Daphnia pulex: one gene and its partner. The protein of the gene in region 1 purifies or fractionates together with the protein of each later gene. This does not show direct contact. Links are inferred from orthologs where the notes say so. Each region holds a gene or a part of one and is shown in the gene's direction. Other genes may lie near its edges. The genes, in order: AP-2 complex subunit alpha-like and protein numb-like.

The links.
Region 2: the proteins of AP-2 complex subunit alpha-like (region 1) and protein numb-like purify together in Drosophila melanogaster (affinity purification with western blotting; 5 studies listed by BioGRID). This does not show direct contact. The link is inferred for Daphnia pulex from reciprocal best matches to the Drosophila melanogaster genes AP-2alpha and numb.

The regions. Positions count from the first base shown.
Region 1 is NC_060028.1:3,027,537-3,031,914, forward strand, and holds the start of AP-2 complex subunit alpha-like, read left to right. Parts: upstream 1-1,507; 5' UTR 1,508-1,631; intron 1,632-1,690; exon of another isoform or gene 1,691-1,734; intron 1,735-2,401; 5' UTR 2,402-2,418; coding exon 2,419-2,482; intron 2,483-2,580; coding exon 2,581-2,792; intron 2,793-2,866; coding exon 2,867-3,060; intron 3,061-3,142; coding exon 3,143-3,266; intron 3,267-3,457; coding exon 3,458-3,565; intron 3,566-3,685; coding exon 3,686-3,794; intron 3,795-3,863; coding exon 3,864-4,014; intron 4,015-4,167; coding exon 4,168-4,336; intron 4,337-4,378. Other genes in the region: speckle targeted PIP5K1A-regulated poly(A) polymerase-like, read right to left, coding at 1-279, 556-665, 744-861, 937-1,108, 1,245-1,259. UniProt on the Drosophila melanogaster protein: Adaptins are components of the adapter complexes which link clathrin to receptors in coated vesicles. Clathrin-associated protein complexes are believed to interact with the cytoplasmic tails of membrane proteins, leading to their selection and concentration.
Region 2 is NC_060020.1:5,122,072-5,126,565, reverse strand, and holds the start of protein numb-like, read left to right. Parts: upstream 1-1,429; 5' UTR 1,430-2,462; coding exon 2,463-2,552; intron 2,553-3,284; coding exon 3,285-3,461; intron 3,462-3,584; coding exon 3,585-3,656; intron 3,657-3,731; coding exon 3,732-3,809; intron 3,810-3,882; coding exon 3,883-4,023; intron 4,024-4,208; coding exon 4,209-4,398; intron 4,399-4,479; coding exon 4,480-4,494. Other genes in the region: splicing factor 3B subunit 2-like, read right to left, coding at 1-8.

The DNA.
Region 1 (4,378 bases):
GAATCTCCAAGAAAATGTCAAGATCAGAATCATTGCGAAAGGCTAATCCAGTAACGGATGATCCAAAAAGATGAAGGCAACAGCCAGGAAACTCGAGCGACAGCCATTCCTCTAAAGATGATATGATCTGAGACTTCGTGCTTTTTTCTTCTTCTGTAGTTTCTACTATCTTAACCAATAAATGAATTTGCTCATCTACAGGTATCACAGCATTTGATTTTAAAGTTTCTTCAAATTTTCTTTTGAAAACCTCAATTTCGTCAAATAATCCAGCTGAACCTAGAAATTAAAAAAAGGGAATCTTACTAACGTGATTGAACAAAGCGATCATAATCAAAATAATTTTGGTATCGTAAAATCGGATACCCGTTCCCATATAAGAATGATTTTCAACCGACTTATCACATTAATAAACTGCAAACATATTATAATCCTATTTGAAGATGACAATTAAAACTAATTTACAAAATATGTTAACATCAATCAAAATTAGATTAAGCAGCAACTAATATAAACTCAGATGTTTAAAAAAAATTACAACTTAAATTTAAAAACCTTTGGATGATGAGTTTGTTAGATTATGTTCAACTTGATTTCTTGGTTGCACTCCCAACAAACTTCCTTCCACATGATGAGAGCATTTCAGTGCCATATCTGCTTGCTTTCTTTAAAGGTTAAAAACAAAATCTAAGTTAAACATTGATACAAAAATATTGTTGATGATTGTGAAAAATTTAACCAACTTTGTTCTGAACTGCAACAATCCTGTGTTTTCCGTTTCATTCCTTAAAATGGCTATTACTTGTCCAAATTGTTTGAAATGTTTTACTAGTTTGTCTTTCCTTAGGGAAGTTGGAATTCCTAGTTTTAAATGGATAGAAAATATTTCAAAATACTGAACACAGAATAAAGATTTCTCAGGTATCTTTGAATTACCAGTAATATAGATTCCTTCACTGCTAATTTGTTGAGAAATTCTCTTTTTCATTTTTATTTGATTAACTAGCAAAATATGCTTTTTTCCTTTCAAATGTTGCTCCATACTGATGCGGTCTATTTGTATATTGCAAACAGAGCACAACTCTTTTGGCACATGTTTTTCTTCATTCTTCATGGAAAAGAAAAAATCATATTAAAGTCTTAATACAAAAATTAAGTTAATAGAAAAATCATACATTGTACATAAAATGAGACTCTTTGAAGTTGGAAATATTAAAACAAAAATAAATAAAAGAGGGCCATACCTTGACTTGATTCATTCTACTTCAGTATAAAGTTTGGAATTGTCTAGCCAAAACGTTACTGGAAGTAGGAGATGAACGGTAGTTAGTGAAATGAAGGAGATTATAGCATTTGTTTTGAAACCTTGGAGCAAGTTACAAAACGTGCTGGCTTGTTCAAATCGGACTTTTTATTAGCAGGTGCATGCGGCAATTACGGCATTGACGATCACCATCACCTTATTGTTATTTCATTTCAAGCAGACAACAGTTTTGCTCATTGAAATTTCAGCTCAACCGCTAGATGTCCTAGATGTCGTGGATGTGTGAAGTGGGTGGTATTTGGTATCGTCTTAGGTTTACTACATTGACAGTAAAGGCAAGGAGTTTCTTCACCGGTCGAATATCTCAGTAAGAATTGGCACTTGGTTTTTCATTGATATTCACATATATTTCTATTCTTTATCAAGTTTTGGGTAGTTTGATCGGTTGTACTGGACTAGTTATATACACGGTATGCCTACTCTTATACGAGACATTTCTGATCTCTTTAGTCCTTACTCCATTAGGTTATAATGACAGGAACCACTCATTTTATAAAATTTCGGGAGTAGACCTTGATAACAGTCTTTTTGTTTGAATCTGTGTTTTATGAGGAAATCTTTAAAAACCAGAAGGTGTCATTGGTCTATTACACTACAATATCCTTTTGTATGTTAGTGGTCTCGAAGTTTAGTTTCAGTTATTTTCATTTCAATGAGCCTATTGCACTTCAAATTTTCAAGTTAATTTATCTATTACCTTCATTAGCAGGGAACTGAAATTTTGTGATTCTAGATTATGCCCGATCATTGTAGAAATGTTTTGGTTTTTTTATGTGGGCCACATATTATTAGGGTTTCTAAAAATTGTTTTCATTTTAATGATTGAGTATGTAGTGTGACTAGATCATTTTAAAATATGGTAATTATTATGCATTTAGTTGTAAGATTATTTATGACCTGCACCACGAAATCAATATCTGTGGCTTCGGTGGCCATTACGTACGACTGTGCGCAAGCGCTCTACAAACGTATATATTTATATATACACATATAATTTTTTAAAAATAAACACTACTGTAACAGCCTAATACTTTGTATAGTATTGTATCTTTATTAATACTTCGATCTCTATTGCAGTTGAGAACAGAAAGAGAATGCCGGCCGTCAGAGGAGATGGTATGCGGGGCCTGGCCGTCTTCATTTCGGACATTCGAAACTGTGTGTATTTTCTTCATTTTTGTTCTGATTTCATTTTGTTTTTGTTTTATTTGTTTATTTTTCATTTTTTTTTTTTACATTTTACCATCTGTCTGCAGGTAAAAGCAAAGAAGCGGAAATAAAGCGAATTAATAAGGAGCTGGCCAACATACGATCCAAATTCAAAGGCGACAAAACCTTGGATGGCTACCAAAAAAAGAAATATGTGTGCAAATTGCTATTCATCTTCCTCTTGGGACACGATATAGATTTTGGTCACATGGAAGCCGTCAATCTTCTATCATCCAACAAGTACACCGAGAAGCAAATTGTACAAACCATTTGAACTTTTTCGATTTTAGTGCAGTTTTCATTTATTAATATTTATTTCACACCTATCGTCAGGGCTACCTTTTCATCTCAGTGCTGGTCAACACTAACAGTGATCTGATTCGATTGATTATTCAAAGTATCAAGAATGATTTGGCGTCACGCAATCCCATTCACGTTAACTTGGCACTTCAGTGCATTGCCAACATAGGAAGCAAAGAAATGGCCGAGACCTTTGGCACAGAAATCCCGAAATTACTTGTGTCGGGGTAAGTGACTTGAATTACCTTTGCAGAAAAAAAAATAAGACATTTTCATATTTTAAATTTGTTCATATAACATCATAAACAGAGACACTATGGACGTTGTAAAGCAGTCGGCTGCTCTCTGTCTTCTGAGACTGCTTCGAACCTGCCCGGAAGTCATACCAAGCGGAGAATGGACATCACGAATTATCCACTTACTAAATGACCAGGTGTGAATGACCTGGTAGCATGATGGCATTAGGTTCCTAAGTTCAAAGCCTTTCTTGGTCGAAGTAGAAGAGGAACCTTCGGTCGAAGATCGACAGTTGTTCGAACAAGATATTCCTCTCCATTGTCCACATCATGATTTGAATTGGTCTTTACCAAAATAATATCAAAAGCATTTCTTCTTTTTTTTCAGCACTTAGGAGTTGTAACGGCTGCTGCCTCTTTGATTGAAGCCCTGGTGAAACGGAACACTGACGAGTACAAGGGATGTGTTAGCCTGGCAGTCTCTCGTCTCAGCCGGGTAAATTCGAAATATAAATTCCAATATACTTTACTAATGTTATTGTTTATCAATCTAAACACTACTACTAAAATCAATCAAAAGAAAAATAAATAATTTGTTTTTCTTAATTGCATTCAGATCGTGACAGCCAGCTACACAGATTTACAGGACTACACTTATTATTTTGTACCCGCTCCCTGGCTGTCTGTTAAACTTCTGAGACTACTGCAAAACTACCCTCCACCGGGTAAATTTCTGAATTTAATCAGAAGCAATTTAATGTTGTCTTAAATATGAATTATTTATTTCATTTCAGAGGATGCCGGTGTCCGCGGAAGATTAACTGAATGTTTAGAAACCATCTTAAACAAGGCACAAGAACCGCCGAAATCAAAGAAAGTGCAGCATTCTAACGCTAAAAATGCTGTTCTCTTTGAGGCAATCAGTTTAATCATTCACGCCGATAGGTGGGTTTTCTAAAAAAAAATTCTTCGCTAGTAGAAAATATTTTTTCCTATTCTAAATCGGCATTTGCTATTACCACATCAGTTAGTGTGTTATTTGAGGCGGAGGAAATATTGTGTGAAGTCCCTTACACCTTTGTTGTCTTTTAATTTCAGTGATGCAACATTGCTCGTTCGGGGATGTAACCAGCTCGGCCAATTCTTGTCCCACCGGGAAACAAATCTGCGGTATCTAGCACTAGAGTCGCTATGCCTCTTGGCGACTTCAGAATTTTCCCATGACTCGGTGAAGAAGCATCAGGAGACTGTCATCAATGCACTTAAGGTATTCACTCCTCTCGAAAACAGTGATTACTTTATTAGAATT
Region 2 (4,494 bases), on another chromosome or scaffold:
TGATCCATGTCAAATTCAACTAAATAACTTTCTGTTTCTAAAGAATAATCACACAATCAAAAGGGTGTTTCAAATCAATAGACAAAATAGACGCGTCCAAGTAAAACACGATGAAGTTTTACGTTAATTTAAAACTGCCTTGAAAGAAACACGATAGCAAAACAAGTTTGTTAGAGAACCAAACGGGTGAAGCGAGTAAACGACGACCAAATGAAGCCGAATCTAAAAGCCATGATCAAATCGTATATTCATTGAGGTACCACAGAAAACCAGCAGATGGCGTTCACGACGCGCCCTAAATTTTTAATAAAGGCTTGTGCACACTATCAACACCAGATGGCAGTCTGATGAATCTTAAATGATTTTTTTTTGTGGTGGCACACTGAGAGAGATGCAGTTGCAGTCAAAACGGTTTCTTAAACCGAAGTGCTCTGAGAGTATTGCTAAAGCGGTGGGAGTGGTGTGATTAGTTAGTTTGTGAACGTATTGTTTTCATTGAGATCGTCCAGTTCATCGCGAGGCCGGTAAGTTTGGCCGATTCTGTTTTGGTGTGTGTTGACAGGCTTTTCGTCGGGGCTTGTTTTCAGTTTCTCATTCAAGGCAGTCTTGGTTGGTTTTCTCTCTGCCCAGAGGTCTACAGCATCAAGTGAAACCGACGGCATTTGTTCTCTCCCCTTTACGTTTGTACATACCTTTTGTAGATTGTTTTTTCCAGCCTATTTGATATTATCGTTTTTCGATGGGAAAATTCTCATCGACAATCACATTTTCGTAAAATCTGATGAGAAACGTTGCGTGTGGCCATTTCACCCCTCTTGAGATTTTTTGGTGTCGGTGAACCGATCAAACGTTGGTAGAAGCTAAAAGAGAAATCAGTTTCATTATCAACAACCCTGATGTGAGATGTGCCTGTGAGCCGGATCGATAAGAGACTTTCATCACACAGGCCGTGTAGCAACTTCACTAGGTCTCTCTCAGACTCTCACGCCATTACGTATACACGTTGACATTCTTTCCACGAAGCCATTACCGTTTCTTTTTCTCTCCTTGTCTCTCATATACGTTTACGGTTTTATTTTTTCTTTTTTTTGACGATGAGTGAAAGAGTCGGCCTTTTTCGCCATAGGGCATTGTTGATCCAGGGTCAGTGCAACCGCAAGGCCAAGAAACTAACCAATTTGGTTGCTTTTCCCACTTTGAAGATTGTGTGTGTGTGTGCTGCAGCTAGTAGTAGTATATTTATTATCAGTAGATTATTAAGCAACCCTTGTCCTCTAACCGTCTGCTGACATGCTTATCGATATATCATTTGCAGACGAGGTAACTTCATTTATTGATTCGACCCTTGGCTGGCTTTGAACAAAGGTAAATCATGAACGTAATCTACCTTGCCCTGCATTGATATCGTGTTGGTTTCTATGACATGAAAGAGAAAGTGATGGCCACATCACGTTGATGTTTGCCGGACGTATCACAGGACTAACTGATAAAAGCAAAGTGTCCTTCAACGACGTAGGGCTCTCTCATGTGGTTCGTTCACCTCCTCTGTTGCGGGTCCATTCATATTCATGTATGCAATAACCCCCGTACGAGATGTGATCCGTCACCATAGATGCCATCATCGGGAAAAAACAATTTCGATGAAGCCCATCTCTTGTTATTATTATTTTCGATGCTAACCCCGAGACTGTAGGAATCGGCTGCTACCTTTTTTGTCTAGCTGGAAAGAAGAGAGAAATAAGTCAGTAAAAAGGTAGAAGAAAAGACAGAAAAGAAGGAGGGAGTTCAAAGATGGCCTCGAGCTGAACAAGCATGAAGGCCAAAGCCTCATGTTACATACCTATGGCAACACGAAGGGAGCCAACCACGGTCGCATGCGTCTATATACCTGGTCGGGACTACATTCCACTCTTTGGCAGTAGTTTGCTTGGGTTTCTCACGTCACGGGCGCCATTTTGATGGTCCGCCTTGCTGGGGAACGTTCGCTTGTTGTTATAGTCTGCTCCTCCAGCAGCTTCGCGGTCGTTCTCATCGATTTCCCTCCCGACGTGATTCAACTGGACAGACGTTTTGCGTCCGTTTTACGCCATTTCGTTTCTGTGTTTTACGGCCGAGTGTGATCTTTTTTAAGAGTGAACTAGATTGTGACTACTGTGTGTGACGTGTGTTTGCACGTGCGGAATCGTTTGTGCAACCCAAAGAAATAAGACGGAAATATTTGCTCGTCTTTCTGTTTTACCGGAATGGCAACTGGGCGGATATCTCTTATTTTCTGACTTTACGGGTCGCCGGTGCCGGCGTAATGGAAACCGGCCGTGTGACGACGCACGAATTTAATTCGCACGGATCTTGATGCACATCTAGTTTTTCGTTCATCTACAAAATATCCAACAAAAAACTCTTTTACATTTTATTTTGCACACATTGCACCACCAAATCTTAATTTAAAAAAAAACCAAAACATGGGCAACGCCCATTCTGCTCTTCCGCACGATCCGCTCGAATCGGCCGTAACCCATCCGATCGCTCCGGTGGCCAATGAAATCGACAAGGTGATCGGGTCTCTTATATTTTAATTCCTGCTTAACATTTGACCGTGGCCAACTCGATTTGGTCGAATCAAGGAAACTTTCTAAGAATGTATCGGGTAATTTTAGTTGAGGAAGCAAAAGGTTAAAAAAGATTGGAATGTGGGCTAGGTTGGGTCTCGGAGCGTGTAACACGTTGCGTCTTACCTGGGGCGTAGCGATGACCTGTTGCCCTCTGGCGTTAGCTGACGTGTGAAGCGACGTCACGCCCCCCTTTCCTCTGAGGCTCCAGCTCCTCCTCTTTGATCTTGCCATGTTTTTCTTTTTCACGTGTGTGTGTGTGTCTGTCGTTTCCCGAACGGAGATGCCCTATTCTTTTATTATCTCACAAGTTGCTGTTTATTCTTTGGGTAATAATCAAGATTCGGTCGAAAGAATATCTCTCTTGGCAATGGCGCGCCGTCTCGACGTGCCCGCGCTTGAGAAACAATCGATAATATTCGGGGCGTGTGGGTTCTCGTTTCTTTCGTTAATTTTTTATTATTCCACCGAGGTACCGTACTCTTCAGGGCATGATTCATTGCGTGCGTTTGCGAAAGCGTAACGGGATAGTTGCGCTAACTGAACGAATTTGCCGTTATGTTGCAACGTTAATTTCTCCATGAAACGGCTGGAATGGCCGGAATTCGGGTTGGACCCGACACCATTGCAGATCGCGGCGTCTCTAATATTTTGCTTCGGTTTTTCTTATTGCAGGCTGAGAAGAGCGAGACCAAGGAGAGCGGACGCCATAAGAGGATGGAGCGATTGCGGAGAAGCTTCCGCGAAAGTTTCCGTCGCCGCAAAGACCACGTCCCCGAGAGTTCAAAACCGCACCAATGGCAGTCGGACGAGGCTGCCGTTCGAGCTGGAACTTGCAATTTTTACGTCAAGGTTCGTGAGCACGTTATATACATTGTGCAGGACGTATATTTTTGTTGTTGACGTTTGGCAGGAATCCACGTGGTTCTATTTATTTGCGATTCGCTCACCTTTTTGAATTTTTATTTTTTCCAGTATCTGGGATGCGTGGAAGTGTACGAGTCACGTGGTATGCCTGTTTGCGAGGAAGCACTCAAAGTGCTCAGGGTAAAATATTCATTTCCATTGAAACGATGATGACAAAATATTCCACATTTATTTATTTATTCATTCCCAAAACAGAATTCTAGACGTCGACCAGTAAAAGGCGTTCTGCACATTTCCGGCGATGGATTACGAGTTGTCGAAGAAGACACCAAAGTATGAAATTTCCGTTGATTTCGTCACCGACATCTTAGACTCACTTTTCTCTCTATTGCATCGTGAATCACAGGGATTGATTGTCGACCAGACGATTGAGAAAGTCTCCTTTTGTGCTCCGGATCGTAATCACGAAAAAGGATTCTCGTACATCTGTCGTGATGGTACTACGCGTCGTTGGATGTGCCACGGATTCTTGGCCAGCAAAGACTCGGTGAGGATCGTAAATGAATTGCTGTCAATCCAACAGAGAGAGAGAGAGACAAGCTTGATTACCCCAATAATGAAAGTGGCCATCGTCAATGATAATGGATTGACGGTTTCCGGTCTTATTTCCTCCTTTGACTTACGCTGGTTATTAATACTATTGTTGATGCCCTGGTTTTTTTCTTTTTTCAGGGAGAGCGGTTGAGTCATGCAGTGGGTTGCGCTTTTGCCGTTTGCTTGGAACGGAAACAAAAACGAGATAAGGAGTGCAGCGTGACGATGAATTTCGACACCTCCAACTCTACATTCACGCGCTCGGGCAGTTTTAGAGCAGCGCCCTTGACGGAACGCATTCAAGATCCGCAGGAATACAGACCGGCCGGTAATACCTCACATCTATTTCTTGAGCCCAAAAGTGACTCATGCATCTCACGTGTTGATTGCTCATTGTGGGAAATTCTAGAACCACCGGCGCCGG